5 linked regions of the Neurospora crassa OR74A genome follow. The protein of the gene in region 4 binds, or shares a complex with, the protein of the main gene of each other region. Links are inferred from orthologs where the notes say so. Each region holds a gene or a part of one and is shown on either strand. Other genes may lie near its edges.

The links.
Region 1: NCU01625 (region 4) and NCU05523 share a complex: the UniProt entries of both Schizosaccharomyces pombe proteins name them as parts of the 7-subunit TFIIH core complex. The link is inferred for Neurospora crassa OR74A from reciprocal best matches to the Schizosaccharomyces pombe genes rad15 and tfb2.
Region 2: NCU01625 (region 4) and NCU06438 share a complex: the UniProt entries of both Schizosaccharomyces pombe proteins name them as parts of the 7-subunit TFIIH core complex. The link is inferred for Neurospora crassa OR74A from reciprocal best matches to the Schizosaccharomyces pombe genes rad15 and ptr8.
Region 3: NCU01625 (region 4) and NCU01831 share a complex: the UniProt entries of both Schizosaccharomyces pombe proteins name them as parts of the 7-subunit TFIIH core complex. The link is inferred for Neurospora crassa OR74A from reciprocal best matches to the Schizosaccharomyces pombe genes rad15 and ssl1.
Region 5: NCU01625 (region 4) and NCU05423 share a complex: the UniProt entries of both Schizosaccharomyces pombe proteins name them as parts of the 7-subunit TFIIH core complex. The link is inferred for Neurospora crassa OR74A from reciprocal best matches to the Schizosaccharomyces pombe genes rad15 and tfb1.

The regions. Positions count from the first base shown.
Region 1 is NC_026506.1:1,624,933-1,629,290, reverse strand, and holds NCU05523 (transcription factor tfb2), read left to right. Parts: upstream 1-1,534; 5' UTR 1,535-1,882; coding exon 1,883-2,006; intron 2,007-2,090; coding exon 2,091-3,472; 3' UTR 3,473-3,806; downstream 3,807-4,358. Other genes in the region: NCU05522 (PaaI thioesterase), read right to left, coding at 277-446, 527-592, 711-891, 957-972, 1,042-1,082, 1,140-1,178. UniProt on the Schizosaccharomyces pombe protein: Component of the general transcription and DNA repair factor IIH (TFIIH) core complex, which is involved in general and transcription-coupled nucleotide excision repair (NER) of damaged DNA and, when complexed to TFIIK, in RNA transcription by RNA polymerase II.
Region 2 is NC_026503.1:1,415,761-1,419,933, reverse strand, and holds the start of NCU06438 (DNA repair helicase RAD25), read left to right. Parts: upstream 1-1,299; 5' UTR 1,300-1,533; coding exon 1,534-4,122; 3' UTR 4,123-4,173. Other genes in the region: NCU06439 (zinc finger protein), read right to left, coding at 95-426, 554-597, 725-729. UniProt on the Schizosaccharomyces pombe protein: Probable ATP-dependent 3'-5' DNA helicase/translocase. Binds dsDNA rather than ssDNA, unzipping it in a translocase rather than classical helicase activity. Component of the general transcription and DNA repair factor IIH (TFIIH) core complex.
Region 3 is NC_026502.1:2,258,608-2,262,811, forward strand, and holds NCU01831 (RNA polymerase TFIIH complex subunit Ssl1), read left to right. Parts: upstream 1-1,288; 5' UTR 1,289-1,598; coding exon 1,599-2,128; intron 2,129-2,195; coding exon 2,196-3,075; 3' UTR 3,076-3,776; downstream 3,777-4,204. UniProt on the Schizosaccharomyces pombe protein: Component of the general transcription and DNA repair factor IIH (TFIIH) core complex, which is involved in general and transcription-coupled nucleotide excision repair (NER) of damaged DNA and, when complexed to TFIIK, in RNA transcription by RNA polymerase II.
Region 4 is NC_026502.1:2,932,237-2,936,428, forward strand, and holds the start of NCU01625 (DNA repair helicase RAD3), read left to right. Parts: upstream 1-1,367; 5' UTR 1,368-1,887; coding exon 1,888-1,904; intron 1,905-1,984; coding exon 1,985-2,025; intron 2,026-2,084; coding exon 2,085-2,114; intron 2,115-2,177; coding exon 2,178-2,680; intron 2,681-2,756; coding exon 2,757-4,192. UniProt on the Schizosaccharomyces pombe protein: ATP-dependent 5'-3' DNA helicase, component of the general transcription and DNA repair factor IIH (TFIIH) core complex, which is involved in general and transcription-coupled nucleotide excision repair (NER) of damaged DNA and, when complexed to TFIIK, in RNA transcription by RNA polymerase II.
Region 5 is NC_026502.1:1,591,223-1,595,314, reverse strand, and holds NCU05423 (hypothetical protein), read left to right. Parts: upstream 1-1,288; 5' UTR 1,289-1,688; coding exon 1,689-3,680; 3' UTR 3,681-3,994; downstream 3,995-4,092. UniProt on the Schizosaccharomyces pombe protein: Component of the general transcription and DNA repair factor IIH (TFIIH) core complex, which is involved in general and transcription-coupled nucleotide excision repair (NER) of damaged DNA and, when complexed to TFIIK, in RNA transcription by RNA polymerase II.

The sequences.
Region 1 (4,358 bases), on a different chromosome or scaffold from region 4:
TTGCGCTCTGCCGTATTTCACAGACAATCAAGAACGGAAGCTCCGAACAGAGTGCCTTATGAAGAACAGCGGCTGAAGTGCAAATCAAACTTCAACGTCAAGCAAATCCAATAATGCGAAAACCGAAAGCAGGTACTCTAAGGGTATCTTTCTATGAGTTGAAAGGATAATGAAAATGCAGAGACGTAACATCGCTAATCGCCCACTCGCCCGAGGTCTAACAACTCTATGTACACCATGCATACGCACCTATGTCCAGGTTGACTCTCATGACTTTTACTCCACATCATCCTCGGCAATCACAGCTCCCTCCGGAGGCGTGAAGAGCTCAGTCCCATTTTGGGACTTCCAGGCGTTGGCGACATACTTTGTATGACTACCACGGGCACATAGCTCGCCCTTTTGGTTGCGGAAAGTGACGGTGGTGTAGGCAAGAGTCTTGCCCACTGTTTGGTTGTTGATGATGAAGGTTAGTCATGTCAATAATTCATGTTGCTGATGCAAAGGGGCAGGAAGAAAGACTTACTCTTGTCACACACAGCGGTCCCGGAAATCTTCTCGCCGACTTTCCCACCGCTACTAAGGTAGGTAACTGAGTTTTTTCATATACATTTTAGTATTGTGTGTTTGCGGAAAGCAGCACATAACTGGGCTGGAGTTCTTTTGTCCGAGTAGGCATGAATCAATCTCATGGAAGGAAGGAAACATACCGTTCAGATCCGTCGACACACCGGTGGCGTAGAGTCCTTTCGAGGCTACAGCCAGAGAACCACCAAGGTCAACCATGCTGGCGATGGTCCCGCCGTGGATGATCTTTAGACGGTTGGTGTGGTCTTTGGTGATGTCGAGTTCAAAGTCGACCTTGCCTTCGGTGGCACCGGTTACCCGGAGCTAGTTTGGTCATATCAGTTACATGTTCGTTGTATCCATGGAATTTTGTGGTGTCTTTTGCCTACATGAGGTCCGAGGAGTCTGTAAAATTTGGTCAGTCTCATGTCTTGATCTCTTCTTGACAGACCATGGTGATGTGTCATCACTTACCTCGGCTCAAGGCCGGACTCGGCCATGAACGACTTCAGGACCTAACATGCTGTAAGCAACCGAGTCAATGCAGCTGTGAAATGAGTTCCTGAACTAACCGATCTCACGAATCTCGCTGGTGGAAGCTTGGGTGCCATTTTTTTGTTGCTGTTGACCTCGAAATAGGAGACGATGTAAGAGGGATACACGAGGTGTGCTTCAGATGCGGTGTCTGGACTACCTCTAGGTGGACTTGGGGACGGAACACTGCTGTGAATGCCGGAAATCACCACCCGGGACAGGCGCTGTTACAGTGGCTTTAGAAGCAGACTGGCCGACCCGGGAGACGGTAGACAAATGCCGGACAGTGGAACGGTGACGTCGTAACAGGGACTGGTAGTGCCTGCCACGAGGGTCCGAAGTCCCCACTTATGCTTGGTGACCACCTGCAAGGGCACCACGGGGCAGGCAACCTATCCTCGCGCGCGTACAACGCAATGATCATCAACAGCCTTCAAGGTCTTCTTTTGCACCTTATGCCTTTCACCCACAAGTGCCACCGGCTACACCATTATCGCTCGATTCCCTGGGTACCTACCGAATAAACATATACTCGATTCATCATAAATCACACTTCCGTCGATATAACACTTTCCACCTAGAAGTTGGTTTTGGTCCCCATATCTGCCAGCAGAAGTCAACCAGTAGCATTACATCGTGATCCTCTCGACGAGCCATCTGGACTTGACGACATTCGAAGCACTACGTTTACCGAATATTCGACTTGACCTTTCACATTGCCATTCACATAGCGATAACGAATCTCTATTAGCGGCCCGCTGTGCCCGCCCGTCTATCCACCATGTCACTCGGCGGACAACAGCTCCTCGAGTACTTGGAGAAGCTGCCAGGTACAGCTTTTAGGAGACTGTACCAGTCACCAGCGACAGCTTTGGCCATCTTCCGCCGTATGCTGTCTTATCATGGTATGCAATTGTTCCTCGAGTCAGATACCGAAGTCTTGGACGCCGAATCTATAGCATGTAGCTAACTCCTTTGTCCCTCGATAGCCAAGGTTATTGTCCGAGGTCTACTGTACATGCCCGACCCATTCCCGTTAACCTCCCTTGACATATGGTTCCCTCCAGAGGGCGGCGGAAAGATACATCGCGATCGCACCATTGCCGCTCTCCGATCCCTCCACATCCTACAGGTCTCACCACCAAGCAAGGACCGAACCCAAGAAATCCAAATCACGGCGAGCTTCAAGAAAGGCCTACAACTAGCCTTCGAAGGGGGCGGCGAAGATGGCAGCTTTGGCGTCCCTAGTTCTCTTCCCGTCGATCCCTCCATCGACATCGCCTACCTGGACAGGTACGCTCGTAAGAAGTGGGACGACATCCTCCACTACGTTGTCAACAGTCTTGGGGTCCACGGCAGCTCAGAAGGGGTCAGCGGACCCAAGGCCAGTGTGAAGGAACTACTCTTGGCCGGACGCCTCGTCGAACGACGTCCAGACACCCGTACAGGAATCGGAATTACGCAAGCCGGTTTCACCTTCCTTCTCCAGGAGTCCAACGCCCAAGTATGGACGCTCCTCCTCCTCTGGCTCGAAGCAGCCGACCACACGGCCGACTCGGGCATGGACAGCATTGACATGCTCTCCTTCCTCTTCATGCTCAGCTCGCTTGAGCTTGGAACTGCCTACGATACTTCGGCCCTGACCGAGACGCGGCGGAATATGCTTCCCTCGCTCGTCGACTTCGGGCTCATCTACTTCCCGCGCGACACGCGCCAGTTTTTCCCTACCCGCCTGGCCACCACACTGACCAGTACCGCCTCGGCCCTGCGCACCGTCTCCTCGGCTTTCACGGCCGCAACCGCCAACCCCTCGGGCGAGCCCGGCACCACGACCAGCACCAGCGGCGGCCCCGCCGCCACCCCCGACAAAACACAGACAGCAGCCAAGGGCATCATCATCGAGACCAACTATCGTATCTACGCCTACACCACCTCCCCGCTACAAATCGCCGTCCTGGCTCTCTTCTGCCAGCTCAACATGCGTTTCCCCAACATGGTCTCGGGCCGCCTAACCCGCGACTCCATCCGCCAAGCAATCGGCTTCGGCATCACCGCCGACCAAATCATTTCCTACCTACACGCGCATGCTCATCAACAAATGGTGCGCGAAGCCACGGTCACGGGTAAACCGGTGCTTCCCCCGACGGTGGTGGACCAGATCAGGCTTTGGCAGCTGGAGAACGAAAGGATGCAGACCACGGCGGGCTTCTTGTTCAAGGACTTTGAGAGCACGGAGGAGTACGCGGCGCTGAGCAGGTATGCGGAGGAGATTGGCGTACTAGTGTGGAAGAATGATAAGAGGCAGCTCTTTTTTGCCAGCAAGCATGAGCAGTTGAGGGATTATTTGAAGAGTCGGAAGAAGGGGGAGTAAGAGGGGCAGGTTTGTAAGAGAGGGTGGTTTGGATTCGGGGGTGGTTCAGTATGGTTGGAATGAACCCAAGTACCTAGGTACCTCTTGTGGGTGGATGCAATGGGTAGGCGATGGGGTCTTGCATCGTAAAACTTTTACATCTGTGGGCAGGGCAGGATCAACATTTGCATTGAAAAAAGGAGTTCTGGCTTGGGTGGGTGGTTTGGCATCACGCAATTACTAGCTTATACTGTAGACAGGAGTTGGGGGTAAGAAAGGGCCATGTTCAAAATACGAGGTAATGGTCGCCTCGAAATAGGGATGACCTCTTACAAAACAAAGAACTCGATTTCATATGATCATACACATGCAAACCTCTTTTTGACATTCGATTGAGAACAACGCTTCAAGTCATCGGGAGACGTACTATACGAGACCGAAGAGATTGGAAAAAGGGTGCTCGAACAAAATCAGCCTGCTCACTGTGCTACACATCTTTGTGATATACACCTCTTGATACGCCATCCTAGCTGACAGGGCTCAATGACAGGAGTATTGGCGAGGGACTGATCATACTCGGCGGCAATTGCACCTGTACCGAAACTCAAAGTTTGATCATTGAAAGAAATGTCAATACAAGACTAACTACCATTTATTTGCGTTACCATTATGAGGTTCAAGGCATCAATGAATGCCAGAACTGCCCTCTACAACGCCGGACCTTTGCCTCTTACCCTGGGTATGTGAAGCGGTAAGATGAGGTCGGAAACCGAGAAAATACTCTATAGAGAAGTCCGACCATGCCTGTTACCATGAATATCTAGAGCGAAATGACTATGCTCTTGTTCTGTAGTCTCTTCCATCACTCCAAAAGGAGGCCGTAATGCTTGCTCTATCTTTCAAGCCA
Region 2 (4,173 bases), on a different chromosome or scaffold from region 4:
TTCTCTAAATGGTATCTCTTTTTTCCCTTCCTCGCTGCGTTGTGATTCCGTACTCCAACTCCAACTTCAACTCCAACTCCAACAGCCCAGCCACTCAACCAAGCTTATCAGCGTCCACATCCGGGTCAAATATCGAGATCTGGTTCATGGTCTTCTTCGTTTGCTTGACTCTTTCGTCCTTGAGCATGCGCGCATCCATTCTCGCATCCTCGCCCTCGACCCTGAGAGCAGCCTTGGGCGTCACGGCCTCGATGATGTAGTGGTTGTCGCAGTGCGGGCAGTATTCGTCGGAATCCTCGAACTCGGTCGCATCCTTGCGGAAACACTTTTTGCACTTTTTGCAGGCAAAAGTCATCTCGAGTGTCTTCTTAAGGGGGTGCGACTCGGACTCGGCGTGGCATTCGGGACAGTCGAACCATTTGCGGCCTGCGTAGGAGGTGGGTGTAGAGTTAGAGGTCATGTTTATATGGCTGCGATGTTCGGTGTTGTTGTCGTTGTATACTGGTAATAGGGAATCGTGGTGGTTCGTTTATTTGAGACTGAGGTTACGTACAGCATGGTGACCGGATGGAGACTTGAGCATTGAGAACGTGTTTACTGGATGGGAGAGGATCTAGTTAGCAGGTGGTTCGTGGAAGTGGTCTACACGAGCAAACAAGGGGAACATAAGTAGAAGGCATGCCGAAGTGTCAGGTCATGGCATGGCAGGTGGGAGTTTACTTACCACATGATGACAGACAGGAAGAGGTTACTTATGCGCAGAGAGGTAGATAGTGTAGATGGCTCGTTCTGATCCCTGATTTTATGATATTTCGTCGTTGTTGGGTTCTATGTGGTATGTACGACACCAAGATTCTTTCGACGTCGCTTCGTTCTCCTTGATCGCCAATGTTCACGTCCGGAAAAAAAAGGGTTCACCGAACTTTATCACGGCACTTAACGCGGTCGTCCCGTCGCCCCCCCCTTCGTCCACCCACCCAGACCAGAACCGACCCGACCACCACTCAACGCGGGGTGCTTTTCGGACTGGACAGCGGGTGACACGGGTGGAGCCTGCAACTGAGGGAGTGCACTGAACGCCGAACGGTTCCCTCCACTTCCAGGTTGGCTCCAGAAGACTCGCTTCCCCACAAAATAAGCGTGGCTGATGACTAAACTAGCGTGTCTGGCCCCTGTCGGCCTTGCTGTCACAGCGGCTCGGGCGCCCGGCTCCTACGGTATCGCCTTAACAATTTCCATAACAGGACAGGAACCGCAGTGTAAGCAAACTAGGCCTGCTGTACTTGTACCCTACAATACCTCTGCTTGTAGAGCCAGGTATCTACCGTAGCGTACAAAAGACAAAGTGGAATTTCATCATCCATTTCAAACTCCCATCCTTTCAACCTTGTATTCTTTTTTTGCCACTGCACTGGCATTCTTCATTTGTCCGCCTGCTAATCCATCCTTCTAGAACTGAAACTGCTAGAAATAGATAAAACAGAGCAGAGACAAGAAAGAAAGAAAGGAGATCACGTTTTCGTCATACACATAATGCCGCCCAAGCGAAAAGCGGTCGGCGCCCCCCAGGCCGGCGTTGCCAAAGCTGGCCGCACTTCGGCCCTGTCCACTCCCGGCCCCGCGACTCCCCGCAGCCTCGAGAGCTCGTTCCAGTCGGACGGCGATGATGATTTGAACGACGACGACGTCGACGAGGTCATCAAGAGGAAAGAGGAGGTGATTGCCCGCGAGGCCGACGAGTTCGTCAATACATGGGCCGTCGATAGTAGCCGTTTCCAGGCCCGACAGGACGGTGGCGGCAGTCATCGTGACGGCGCCACCCAGTTCTTTGGCAGCGGGAAACGCGACTTTTCGTATCTGAACTTGAAACCCGACCACGACCAGAAGCCGCTGTGGATCGACCCGGAGAAGGGCACCATCATACTCGAGAAGTTCAGCCCGGACGCCGACCGCGTCACCGACTTCCTCGTCACCATTGCCGAGCCCAAGTCACGGCCGCATTTCCTGCATGAGTATCAGTTGACCGCCCACAGTCTCTACGCTGGTGTGTCCATTGGCCTGCAGTCAAAGGATATTATAGACACCCTGGATCGCTTCCTCAAGACCCCCCTGCCCGAGTCCATTCGTCTCTTCATTGAGTCGTGCACAAAGAGCTACGGCAAGGTGAAACTCGTGCTGAATAACAACAAGTACTTTGTAGAAAGCTCGGATGCCGAGTTGTTGCAGAAGCTGCTCCGCGATGAAGTAATCGGAAAGTGGCGTGTCCAGGGCTCCGGTGATATTACCACCTCCTATGCGCCCACCATGGGCGGCCTGGTCATCCCCGGCACCAAAGATGCCGCCGGTGTGAACCAGGCAGGCCTCAACAAGTCTGGCAACAAGAAGACTGCCGAGGATGGGGCCGCGGACGCTGCGGCGACTAACGAGGCAGACCTCTACGCAGCCATCAATGAGGAAGACGACGAGGACGACAAGGACGCCGTCCATGCCTTTGAGATCCCCGAAACCGCCGTCGAGATTGTCCAACGACGCTGTCTTGACCTAGGATTTCCCATCTTGGAGGAGTACGACTTCAGGAACGACTCTAATAACGCGGATCTGGAAATCGATCTGCGACCAAACACACAGATTCGTCCGTACCAGGAGCAGAGTCTCAGCAAAATGTTTGGTAACGGCAGAGCAAAGAGTGGCATCATTGTTCTGCCGTGCGGTGCAGGCAAGACCTTGGTCGGCATTACGGCTGCCTGCACCATCAAAAAGGGTGTCATCGTCCTGTGTACCAGCAGTATGTCCGTCGTGCAATGGCGCCAGGAGTTCCTCAAGTGGTCCAACATCAACCCCGACGATATTGCCGTCTTTACCGCTGAGAGCAAGAACAAGTTCTCTGGTAATACGGGTATCATTGTTACTACATATTCTATGGTTACCAACAACCGAGAACGATCTCACGACTCCAAGAAGATGATGGATTTCCTCAAGAGTCGTGAATGGGGTCTGATGCTTCTCGACGAGGTCCACGTCGTCCCTGCCGACGTCTTCCGAAGAGTTATCTCTTCCATCAAGTCGCACTCCAAGCTGGGTCTCACAGCCACCCTGCTCAGAGAAGACGACAAGATTTCCCACTTGAACTTCCTAATCGGCCCCAAGCTCTACGAGGCCAACTGGATGGAGCTATCCGAAAAGGGTCACATCGCCAAGGTCCAGTGCGCAGAGGTGTGGTGTCCTATGCCCACCGAGTTCTACGACGAGTATCTTCGTGCCAACTCGCGCATGAAGCGCACTCTTTACGCCATGAACCCCCGAAAGTTCCAGGCCTGCCAGTACCTGATCAACTACCACGAAGCCCGCGGCGACAAGATCATCGTCTTCTCCGACGAGCTGTACTCACTAAAACAATACGCCCTCAAGCTAAATAAAGTCTTTATCTACGGCGGCACCGGCCAAGCCGAGCGCATGCAAGTGCTCGAAAACTTCCAGCACAACCCGCAAGTCAACACGCTCTTCCTCTCCAAGATCGGCGACACCTCGCTCGACTTGCCCGAAGCCACCTGTCTCATCCAAATCTCCTCCCACTTCGGTTCCCGTCGTCAGGAAGCCCAGCGCCTAGGCCGTATCCTCCGAGCCAAGCGCCGTAACGACGTCGGCTTCAACGCCTTCTTTTACTCACTCGTGTCCAAAGACACGCAGGAAATGTACTACTCGTCCAAGCGCCAGGCCTTCCTGGTCGACCAGGGCTACGCCTTCAAGGTGATCACGCAGCTGGCCAACATCGAGAACACGCCCGACCTGGCCTTCGCCACGGCGCAGGAGCGGCGCGAGCTGCTGCAGCGCACACTGGTCGACAATGAAAAGGGCGCCGAGGATGATGTCGAGACGGACGATCTGTTTGGTAAGGTCGGGCGCGGAAGGGGTGGCGCAAAGGGCAGAGCGGCGGCGGTTCGGAGAATGGCTGGAACCCTGGGCGAGCTCAGTGGTGGTCAGGATATGGCGTACATTGAGCAGAACAAGGCGGCGAATAAGGGGTTGAAGAAGAAGGGTGCCGCCAAGGCGGAGCAGAGCGCCTTCTTCAAGAAGCTGCAGAGGGAGAAGGAGAGGAGTCGGGCTTTGGCGAGACAGGGCTAGAAGAAACCGTCTTGATTTGGGGTCTTTGACTTGTATTCTCCCTCTCTCTTT
Region 3 (4,204 bases), about 670 kb from region 4:
GACCGAGGAGGACCATGAACAATCTGGCCCTTTTTGTGTGAAAATTTCGACCGCGTACGACTGATCGCGAGTTGGTTAATCAATTGCGCCCATACAAGCGGCTGAGGTATTACGTCAGAGGCGGCACAGGTCAGTCTTGGCCGTTGACCAGTGAGCGGGGATCTTTGGAAACCTCGGCCGAAGGTGCCGTGACGTAACGTCAATCCAGTTGGCGTTTCTTATTGGCCACCTGTCAGCGCGTAGGTCGCAGGCGAGCCACGATCAACCGCAGAGCTGGAACGGGCCGGCACGGGGCCGGCACATCTACATGTGCCTTACTACTAACGGCGAGGCTACTCCACGGCGCAACCTTTCATCGCATTTCACGATCCTACAATACCTCGCTACGAAGCTTCTGTCGGGCACATCACGCCAAGTACGCGGTCCGCTTTAAGGTCGCATCTTACTGCATTCCTTCATCGAGTATATGTACATAACTCGATGCAGTAATTAGCTTCGATCTTCTCTCCCCCATCTCCAGTAAGTATTGCTAGTTGTGCACTGCACTGTGACAGTTGTTTCGCTCAAGGTAAGGGTCGGTGTTTACCTGTTTCACCACATCACGAAACATGCGACTCACGCCATACGGTGTCTGTCTCGCTGGTGACCTTGCAGATTCATTGGACCACGATACCGAAACGGATATATGGACACATCAAAGCCGTGGACCCCATTCCGTCGTCTGGACTCTAGAATTCGGGAGAGCCCGTGCCCGGAATCCGGACCGGAACGGACAGTTGGACTCCCTGGCTGGCCGTTTTCCACGTGGGATTCCCATTTTGCCAAGCGATTTGACCGCACAAGTATCACGCACCCCCGCAGTACCGACGACGACCGATCCATGATTTATTTGAGCCTTGTATGCCTACATACTCTTTGAGGTTCTTGATTACTTCAACAGTCTGGTGAACCCCGGGCACAAGCATGTGAAAGTCGCAGGCCCCCGAAGGCATAGCCCTACATCGCCTCAAGACAATCCAGTGGCCCTTCTGGGTAGCGGGCACATCATGTAGTATATACTTGACACATATGCACGTCCTTTGAATGTCGTGACTCGTAACCAAGCTTCAAATCAGAGTTGACCTTCGCTTTGAAGTTGTGGTGGAACCAGATTTCGCTGTCGAATTTCGAGGCCCGTAGTTACACAAACGAGATGTCGGTACCCAGCACCGATCTGATTCGATTTCACAGGCCCCACTCTTCCTGCGAGGCTGCCTACATACACGAGTTCGCGCATTTGGGGAACAGCCTTGCAGTCCAGTAAACATTTCCGGCTTCCACCACACACCACGAACCTTTGTTCAGCTTGTGCATTCAACGTCGTCGCGTATCCCCTTTTCTCCATTCTTTCTTATTTCTCTCCGGCACTTTTTCAGCGCGACAACCAGTACCCGGCCTCCCGATCAACACCTACCAGGGAGTTGTCTACACGAACACGACTAAAGGCCCTGATTATCGAACTTCTGAACCTTCCACTCGTTTCGAAGTGACCCTCGAGCTTCTCCCACTAAGAGCGCCAGCTACTATCCGTCAAACTATCCCGACAAACATACGCAAACATGGCTGACTCGGACGGCGAGTACGCCTCCGACGATGAGCTCAAGAGGCATGGAAAGAGGACAGCGGACGGGCGCAGCAAGCAAACCAAGGCGTCATGGGAAGATGTTAAGCGCTCCTGGGATACCGTCTTGGAAACAGCGGACAGCGGCCTCTCCATCGCAGAGATTCGGGAGGCCGAGAAGCGGCGTCGCCTTCTGCGCGACACGACACCTCTTCAGCGTGGAATTATCCGCCATCTGATGCTTGTGCTCGACATGAGTTTCGCCATGGCCGACAAAGATCTGCTACCAAACCGTTACCGAGTCGTCCTAAATAACGCCATTGGCTTCGTACGCGAGTATTTCGAGCAGAATCCCATCAGTCAGCTAGGCATCGTGGGAATGCGCGATGGAATTGCTGTGCGAATAAGCGACCTGAGCGGGAATCCGGCCGAGCACATCGAAAAGTTGATGCAATGGAGCGAGCAACAAGACCCCCAAGGAAATCCGAGTTTACAGAATGCACTTCAAATGTGCCGAGGTGCTCTATAGTCAGCGCTACGGCCCACCCCCTCCGTGACAGAGGTCATTCGCTAACCGCTTCATGTTTTTGTACAGTCAAACGCCGTCACATGCCACGCGCGAAATACTGATAATCTACGGTGCCCTCGTCTCAATCGATCCGGGCGACATACACGACACCATCAACGACCTCGTAGCCGACCGCATCCGCGTCTCGGTCGTTGGCCTCGCCGGCCAAGTCGCCATCTGCAGCGAGCTTTGCAAGCGGACGAACAACCACGACGGCAACTACAGCGTCGCCGTAGACGAGGTGCACCTCAAGGAGCTCTTCTTCGCCGCCACCACTCCGCCCGTCACCCGCACGCCCGAGCAAAACACCGCCAGCCTGCTCATGATGGGCTTTCCCAGCCGCACGCTTGCTCCGAAAGACCATGTCAGCTTCTGCGCCTGCCACGCGAAGCCCACGCGCGAGGGGTACACCTGTCCGCGCTGCGGAATCAAAGTGTGCCGGCTGCCGATCGACTGTCCGATCTGCAAGCTGACGCTCATCCAGAGCACGCACTTGGCGAGGTCGTACCATCATCTGTTCCCGCTCAAGGTGTTTGTGGAGGTTCCGTGGTCTCAGGCGTATAAGTCGACGGCGTGCTACTCGTGCCTGACACCCTTTCCTGCTAGGCCAAGGGATTCAGTGGCGGCAGCGCCAGCTGTGTTAGGAGGGAGAGCCGGAGCTAAAGGTAGCGGGAAACAACAGGACGGCGAGCAGAAAAATCCAAAACCGGAACTCAAGGGTGTCAGCGAAAGCGGGCGGTATGCTTGCCAGGTATGCGGAAATCATTTTTGCATAGACTGTGATGTCTTTGCCCACGAGACTATTCATAATTGTCCTGGGTGTCAGAGCGATACGAGGGATGTGGAGAAGGATACGGCAGTAGCAGTACCAGACGGTGGCCCTACACCCATGGTGATGGATTCCTAGAGTGAGGAGCATGCTACAAATGGCGGCAGATGGAGGACAACAATTAGCCGCTCCGCTTGAACGTTTCAGATTCTTCGGGCGGAACCGAACCGGCCACTCTGGTTAAGAGCATCGATAGTATGGTATCGTGAACGAAAACGATACGATGACCCGAAACAGAGCAGTTTTAAGGGTATGGCGAACATATCTGTTACATGGAGGGGTTGGCGCTGCAAAGAACACGAAAATATACACGGCATCACGATCAAAATATACCCAGACGACTTGGCTAAGAAGAAAGTCCAAAGTGGAACTCCCAAAACCAAAGCTGTAAGGGACACCAGCCGAATAACTAGAGACGACGGGGTCATGGCTTCTTCATGCTCTTTACCAACAAGGCAGTGCAAAGGGATACTAGCGAAAGGGCTAAAGAAATGACGGGATCCAACAGATGTGAAATGGTCCTATGAATTCAAGAAGACGATTCGTTGGGTGTGGCGCATCTGTGAAGGAGATGGGAGACGGATATGGTTATGGAAGAATGATCAAGAAGACTCTTTGCGTATCGGTAGAGTCCCTTGTGACGAGGGGAAAGAGAGGACGGGCACGCAACGAATCATAGATGTGGAGTGATACGGCAATGTGAGATTTTGAGACCATACCAGCATCATCAAGTAGCGTACTAAAATAGCTAATCTTCATATGTCTACACGGTTCCGGTGATGTTCCGATAAAGGAAAAATCCTGCCCTTGAACAAATCGGACAAATTATATGCAAGTAGGTAGGAGTGCGTGGTGAAAAACGAGTGAAGAGCAGAATGCGAAAGGAACTTGTTGGGCGATCATGACTGGCGATTTATGAACAGGTCAACAAAATGTTTCAACCCCTCGTTTTCATTCGAAGCTAATACACCACCGTGAATTCGCTCATTACCTACAATTTCACATAGCTGATTTCAGAATGACAAAGTACTATGTAAGCACGTGTCAAAATCATCACATGATTTGCATAACTATGCCAAAGCTACTTTCATGCTCTACTTCTCGGTTTGAAGCCATATCGAAACCACAAACAAGTACTGTGCGCCTGCAAGATGCCATGCTAAGACCCTTCCGGCCAGCTCCCCTGCCGGCCGACCCCCAAGCTTTT
Region 4 (4,192 bases):
AAGAGGAGTCAGTTAAAGTTCTGACGGCCACAGCAGCGGCGTCTAAAACAAGTTATAAGTACCAGCCCGGCTACCTACCTCTAGGTAAGGTACCTACTCACCTCTGACAGCCGATTTGATGCAAGTAGGAGGCGTTCGGGGAGTCGATTCAAATCCTCCGTCCTCCCTCCCTCGCCCCGATCTAGACTCAACGGCAGCAAGGGCGCGCCTACCTATCTACCTACATACACCCATCACCACGCACCCACCCTGAGTACCTCTGTGTAGATATGGAAGTAAGTCCGGGGCGAAGGATCGCAACCGCGCGGCGGGGTTTGGGAATCCTTCGGAAGTCTACCTACTTGGAATTGGGAACTTTGCTGCTGCTCCAAACCGGCGGTTAAGTAGTAATGAGCAGACAAGCGCCGCCGCCGCGATTTGATGAGCCCCGTTTTTCTTCCATCGTGACAGTCGCTGCTCGTATTCACTCATGCGCCAACAACCGCCGGTGGTGGCATACGAGAGTCGGGGTATCAAAGTCACCACCCAAAGTGGAATATGTACCTGGCAGTCAGTTGACGTTCCATGAAGAGTGGTGGGTGACTCCCGAGTCGATGTGGGAACTTTGAGCTCTTGGATTCCAACAACTACCTACGGGACAGCCACATAAAGGTTATGCTGAGATACTGCATGTGTGACTGAGAGATATGAAAGTGTTGAGGATCGCCGTGGTACTCCACGGACGGTATTGAAGTGAGAGGTGGAATTAATCTATTTGCTCCCGATCGTTGATTTCAAGCGTCTGAGATGATGAGGTTTCTCCCTTCTTGCAGCTTGTTTTGGCGCTTTCGTTTTCCCGCTACTTTGAAGGACCTGTCTTTCCATCGGTCGTTTTTTTAATCTTCCTTTTGAATAAGACCCATGGACTGATAGATAATCGGCAAGATGGCGATCCTTCGTACTGAGCGCGGAAGTACCAACACTGATAGTTATCGTATAATCCGAATCCGAGGAAATTCCAAGTCCGCCGATTGCTGTAGACTTGAAGCATTGCAATCACTAAGAGAAGACGGACTACCTCTATCAGCGCGGCCTGTGCACCAGTTTTTGAGCATGGAAGCGAGTGTGCGCAAAGGAAATATGAATATAGAGGCTGCTGAGGAAGTGGAAGTGACGATGAAGTTGTGGTGTTCCAGTCGTTTTTGAATGTGAAGGCCACAGTGCAATTGAACTATGAGAAAGACTGTGCGTGTGGGGGGTCCACACTCACTGCAGTCAATCCGGCATCAGCGGGCCGGCAACAAGCGTGCCGGACCGGCAGCAGCTCACCGTAAAAGTATCACCGTACCTGACCTTGTGCCAGATCCGGATTCCCAGAAACAGCACATCATTGATCCATCAAATCCACCGAGATCCTGTCCTGAAGCTGATCGCCACAGGCCACCGCCAGGCAACCTTGGCACGTGCTTTCTCGACTTCACAAATCTATACAACAACAAGCGCAATACAAACAGCCATAATAATAGAGATACGCGGTCTAGGGGAAGACCTGAGGCTGCATACTTGAGACAAGGGAGGAGGCCCCTTTGAATACCGAAGAACAGACGAACGACTGCCCCCGCCAAGACCCAAGATAGAAGCTCCAGCGTGCAGACACATGCCAAAAGTTGACCTCGATTTCACGACTTCTCGCTTCTCACCAAACCAAACATCGAAATAGAACATCAAACGACCATATTAAGCATCAGCCCTGTCGCACTTCTCCATCCGGACACCCGCGTCGATTAGATATTCTGCGACATAGTAAAACCAGCAAGAACATTCATCAACGTTGCTGCTGCCCGCGCAGCCATTCGTAATTCCTTCCCTTTGTCCGTGTATCCAAGGCCGTGATACTACACGCCCACCATGGAGTTCAACATCGAGTAAGAGCCAAATCCGAGATGACGCGTTCGCGTTCTTGGTCTGTAAAAAACCAGATAACTAACTTGCCGGCAAACAACAGCGATCTCCCAGTTCTGTTTCCTTACCCAAGGATATATCCAGGTATGTGAGCTCATCCACATTGGTACACCATCACAAGTGCTGACAGACCGACTACACAGAACAATATGCGTACATGGTGGACTTGAAAAGTGAGCATTCAACAAATAGCTCACACTCATCACACGTCCACTGACCACCACCACTCCCCACAGAAACCCTCGATGCAGGCGGGAACTGTGTCCTGGAAATGCCTTCGGGCACCGGCAAGACCGTCACCCTTTTGTCACTCATCGTCGCCTACCAGCAATACTACCCAGAGCACCGGAAGCTGATCTACTGCTCGCGAACAATGTCCGAAATCGAAAAGGCCCTCGTTGAGCTGAGAGCACTCATGAAGTTCCGAGCCGAGCGGCTGGGGCACGAAGAAGAGTTTCGCGGTCTCGGTCTGACAAGTCGAAAGAACCTGTGTCTGCATCCCTCGGTCAAGCGGGAGAAGAGCGGTGCCATTGTCGACGCGAGGTGTCGCAGCTTGACGGCCGGCTTCGTCAAGGAGAAGAGGGAAAAGGGGGAGAATGTGGAGACGTGCGTCTACCACGACAATCTCGACCTTCTAGAACCGCATAACTTGATCCCTAACGGAATTTGGACACTGGATGGCCTGATGAGGTATGGCGAGGAAAAGAAACAGTGTCCTTATTTCACTGCCAGGAGGATGGTAGGTCTCTTCTCAACACCCCAGGATGCGGATGTAATAGCTCGAGATGCCATACATACTAACAGCTCATATGTAGATGCAACACTGCAACGTCATCATCTACTCCTATCACTACCTCCTAGACCCCAAGATCGCCGAGCGCGTGTCCAAGGATCTATCCAAGGACTGCATCGTCGTCTTTGACGAGGCTCACAACATCGACAACGTCTGCATCGAGTCTCTAAGTACCGACATCACCCAGGACTCACTGATGAGGGCAACCAGGGGTGCTCAGAACTTGGAGGCCAAAATCAGCGAGATGAAGGACTCTGATCAAGAGAAACTTCAGTCCGAGTACGAAAAGCTAGTCGAAGGACTCAAGGGTCTAGATGAAGGGCGACAGGAGGATGCTTTTATGGCTAACCCAACACTACCCGACGATCTGCTCAAGGAGGCTGTCCCCGGCAATATCAGGCGAGCCGAGCACTTCGTTGCCTTCCTCCGGAGATTCATCGAATACCTCAAGACCCGCATGAAGGTCCGCCAGGTCATCTCCGAAACACCACCATCCTTCCTCGCCCACCTGAAAGAATACACCTTCATCGAGAAGAAACCGCTCCGGTTCTGCGCCGAGCGTCTAACCTCGCTAGTACGGACCCTCGAGCTCACCAACATTGAAGACTACCGGCCACTCCAAGAAGTAGCCACCTTTGCAACCCTCGTCGCCACCTACGAAAAGGGCTTCCTACTGATCCTCGAGCCCTACGAATCCGACACGGCCAAGACCCCGAACCCAGTCCTGCACTTCACCTGCCTCGACGCCGCCATCGCCATCAAGCCCGTCTTCGACCGATTCAGCTCCGTCATCATCACCTCCGGTACCATTTCCCCCCTTGAAATGTACCCCAAAATGCTCAACTTCGAAACCGTCGTGCAGGAATCCTACGCCATGACCCTCGCCCGCCGCTCTTTCCTCCCCATGATCGTCACCCGCGGCTCCGACCAGGCCTCCATCTCCACCTCCTTCCAAGTCCGCAACGAGCCCAGCGTCGTGCGCAACTACGGCAATCTCCTGACCGAGTTCGCCCGCATCACGCCCGACGGCATGGTCGTCTTCTTTCCCTCGTACTTGTACATGGAATCCATCATCTCCATGTGGCAAGGCATGGGCATCCTCGACGAAGTGTGGAAGCACAAACTCATTCTGGTCGAAACCCCAGACGCGCAAGAAACCTCGCTAGCGCTCGAGACGTACCGCACCGCCTGTTGCAACGGCCGCGGCGCCATCTTGCTCTGCGTCGCGCGCGGTAAAGTGTCCGAAGGCATCGACTTTGACCACCAGTACGGCCGCACCGTGCTCTGTATTGGCGTGCCCTTCCAGTACACCGAGTCGCGCATCCTCAAGGCCCGCTTGGAGTTCCTGCGCGAAACGTACCGCATCCGCGAAAACGACTTTCTCTCTTTCGACGCCATGCGCCACGCCGCGCAGTGTCTGGGGCGCGTCTTGCGCGGAAAAGACGACTACGGAGTCAT
Region 5 (4,092 bases), about 1.3 Mb from region 4:
AACAAATACATCGAAGACGCCCGGGACCCAACAAACTTGAAGGGGACATCAATGTGAGATTCTCTCGGTACCTCCATAGCCGCAAACTCGCCTACCTTCAGTTATTTACTGCTCAGTCTGCTACATACCCATACGTAGTAGCGTACACAATGGAATACACGAAGAGATATCATATCCATCATCTACTCGAATCCGTCCTCCCTCTTGTTGTTTGTCCAAAAGTCACGACGGAGTTCACGGTTCGAGCGGTGACCACGGTAACAGCAAGCATAACCGGAAGTCGTGGAGTTTCTGTGGTTTCAAGGAGGGGGACGGGAGCTGTGTCTCCATGACAAGTCATCGGGCACGCAGCAAACTGGGAAAGTGTGGAAGAGCTGGAAGTTACGGTCTGGAGAGTGCTACTGTAATTATTTCATTACGCATTGGCTCCCGCACCTCCCGTCGAGACTGGAGTTGGAGGCTCCGAGACCTGACCCGAGTCCCTTTTCCCCGGAAATCACGGTTCCCGTCTTTTTGGACCAAGTATCCAATCTTACCGTGGAAAGTGGGGAAAACTTCCATGTCCGAGGTGGAAATGTACGGTAACGCTTTCGGTCCCATCTTTGAGCGCGAACTTTTCGAAGCTTTCGCTTGGGGCATCGAACTGATGGAACTGCGCTAGACATGGTCTGGTCGGTATCCTGGGTTATGGGTTTGGGTTCAATTAGCTACTTGGCACTGACCGCCTTGTGACTTGCCGTAGTATCATGTGACTTTTGCAAAAGTCATTTATCAAATCCATTTTGTCAAAGAAGAGACAAGCGAACCGAGTCTAGATCTCGTCTCGATCTCGTCTCGAGTGGTTTATCGAAATGACTTTGAGGTTTGGCTGTTGGTTTCGATTGTGTAATTCACTACAAAATCCTGCATCGTCAGCTGCCACCTTCAACTTCTTCTTCATTATTGAGCCAGTTGCAGCATTGACTGCACGTCACAGTGTTAAATCCCCCAACTCTCATTGGCTGGCCGTGACTGGTTCGCTGCAGTGCAGTTGCTGTTGTCCAAGCTCTGCGCTGGCTTCAGATCCTTGGCATTTCCCACCCACGGCACCTGCAGCAGTTCGTCGCCCAGAGCTCAGGTCCTGTGGTGGCCAGAGATCCGACCTGGGTGGACAGCTGCCGTGACACTGTCTGTCGGTTCAAAGTGGAACCTTCCCGAGCTGAAACCTGAAGTTCAAGTTCTTTACACTAGTTGAACAGCCCCAGGGCGACCATGGAATTGTTAGTAGTCGTGCTCCACTGCAGCCTCAGCTGCCGCCTGCCTGCCTGCCACGCATAAACTACCTACTACACTATGTAAACTCACCACCCACTCACCATCCCGCAACGACATCCGCAGCAGCCAATGCCTCACCCCGGATTCAAGACTGACGGGACCTGGATTAGATTTGCTTGGCGTTACTACACTACATCACCACGTCCATCATCGTCTAATGCCGTGTACCTTGACGACTCTCCCGTCTCTCTTCGATATCAGTAAGGCGTAGTACACGAGCACGCTGTGACATACGTATCGCGTTAATACATCCTTGTCAAGGAACACATTGCGAGGCTGGTCCGTCTTTATAACATCAAAAGATTGGGAACTGGGCATTGAGCGTGGACTTGAGATATTCAACGGGCGGTTAGGGAGAGGACTACCTAGCCAACATGGCCCCGATTGAGATTCCCCGGGGACAGGCCTCTTACAAAAAAAGAGAGGGCATCATCACATTAACCCCAGACAAGACAGCCCTGATATGGAGCCCCTTGCCGGGCACTGGCCCACCCGTCATCTCACTTTCCGTATCCAACATCACAAACCTCCAACAGACCCCCAAGACGAATCCCAAGGTCGTCTTGAGAGTCGTCGAGAAACCCAAGGCGCCCGGAGCCGATCCGGCTGCCTATCCCTTCCAGTTCACACATGCCACCGAGGCCAGGAATGAGGCCGATGCCATCAAGGATCTTCTCTCTCAGATCATTGCTGAGCTTCGTGGCGATGACCCTTCTCTACCCAAGCCGGCAAAGTCTGGCCCCAACGGCGCCGGCGCCTCTGCCGCCATGGCCATGGCCAGTGCCGTGAACTCGAAGCATTTGCCGTTTCGCTGGTTCGAAGACGACATGCTAAAGGCCGATGTAGAACTTCAGCAGTCCCTCATGAAGAAGGATAAGGCCTTGGCCCATATATATAACGACGCAAAGCTGTCCAAGCCAGATTCATTATCAGATGCCTCCTTCAACAGCCAGTTCTGGGCCACCCGCATCAGCCTGCTACGTGCCTATGCCATCGAGCTGAACCAGAAGAAGGGCTCATATAACGTCCTATCAACCATCAAGCCCCGGACCGAGAACGGCGAGCTCAAGTTGAACATCAACCATGAGCAGGTCCAGCTCATCTTCCAACAACACCCACTGGTCAAGCGCATCTACAACGAGAACGTCCCCAAGCTCACAGAGTCCGAGTTCTGGTCCCGCTTCTTTCTCAGCCGTCTCTCCAAGAAGCTCCGCGGCGAGCGCATCACCGACAATGACAACACCGACCCCTTATTCGACAAGTATCTCGAAGCCGACAACACCATGGCAGTCCCAGCCAAGATCACCGCCACGAGTGTGCCCCCCATCATCAACATCGAAGGCAACGAAGAAAACCAAGGTGGCTTCAGGGGTGGCAACCTCAAAGACGTCGAGATGCGTCCGCGCGCCAACATCCCCATCATCAAAACGCTCAATTCGCTCTCCGAGAAAATCATGGCCAACGTCGCCCCCACAGACGTCGACCCCTCCGCCGCCTCCTACTCCAAAGACGGCATCGCCGACGCCCTATCCAAACAACTCGCCCTGCAAGACCTCCGTGGCGACGCCGAGGCCCAGCTGATCCGGCTTTCCGTCAAGGACACCTCCACCTTCTTCACAGGCAACCAGCCCTCGCTCACCGACCAAGAAGCCGCCGACGCGCGCCTCTACGCCACCCAAGTCCCCTCGGACGTGCTCTTCGAAGTGCAAGCGGACATGGACACTCTCGACTCGGACGGGCGCGGCGGCATCGATCTCCACCGGTCCATCGGGGTCGATCCCGACTCTGACGACGAGGGTAATAACTCTCTGGACTCTAAAAGCGGACCCAAGCCCCAACACGTCGGCTCCCGCGCTGCGCTACGGTTCGCCCAGAACCAGATCCTCGAGAGCATGAAGTCCGCTCGGTCGCACCTCACCACCACCACCACCCACGGTGGCTCGCACACCACCACCACCAATGCGTCCGAAGAACGACCCATGTCGTTGCCGACGGACATTGCCCACCGCGCTACGCTAACCTGCGCTACGACCGCCGAGTTCCTGAAACAGTTCTGGACGGTGTTTAATAACTCCAGCAACAGCAGCCCAGAAAAGCAGCAAGAATTGGCCTACCTGGCCGACTCGCTCGTGCGCTCGAAACAGAGAATCGAGGCGCTGGCTGACGAAGCGGAGAAGAGGAGACAGGAGATTATGGAGAAGCGGAAAAGGGAGATTAGAGAGTATTATCAAAAGACAGGCCGCAAGGCGAAGTGGGTTCCCGTTGGAGGGGGCAGGGATGCGGTGTGGGCGGCTTTTGAGGGCGTGGTGGGCGGGTTGGAGAGGGCTGTGGCGGTTTGGGAGATGGTTAAAAGTGGGAGGATCTGAAGATATGAGGAAAGACAGTGGCAGAGGTGCGTTGTTAGGGGATGGATGTTGTGCTGTGCTGTGTGGAAACGGGAGGAAGATGGGGAGGATGACTTTCATGAGAGGAGAAGTGATAGAGGAGGATGACATTTGGGAGCGTTGCCATGAACGAGAAAAAGTTTCAAGTATATATAGAGGACAGAAATGGCCCACAAGACAGTAAGGCTGGGATAATTTGGGTTAGGAGAAGGAGAAACAGACTGACTATAGTCACATTAGGAATTATGGCTGAAGACCAATGATGAAAAAAAGCATTAAGAAATTTTCAAGAAAGCAAACTGGTTCTGGACTGATGTGTGATATCTAAAACCAGACTCTTAACACTTTCCAAAACGAAGGTTCCGGTATTCTCAGATTACATCATGTAGATAAA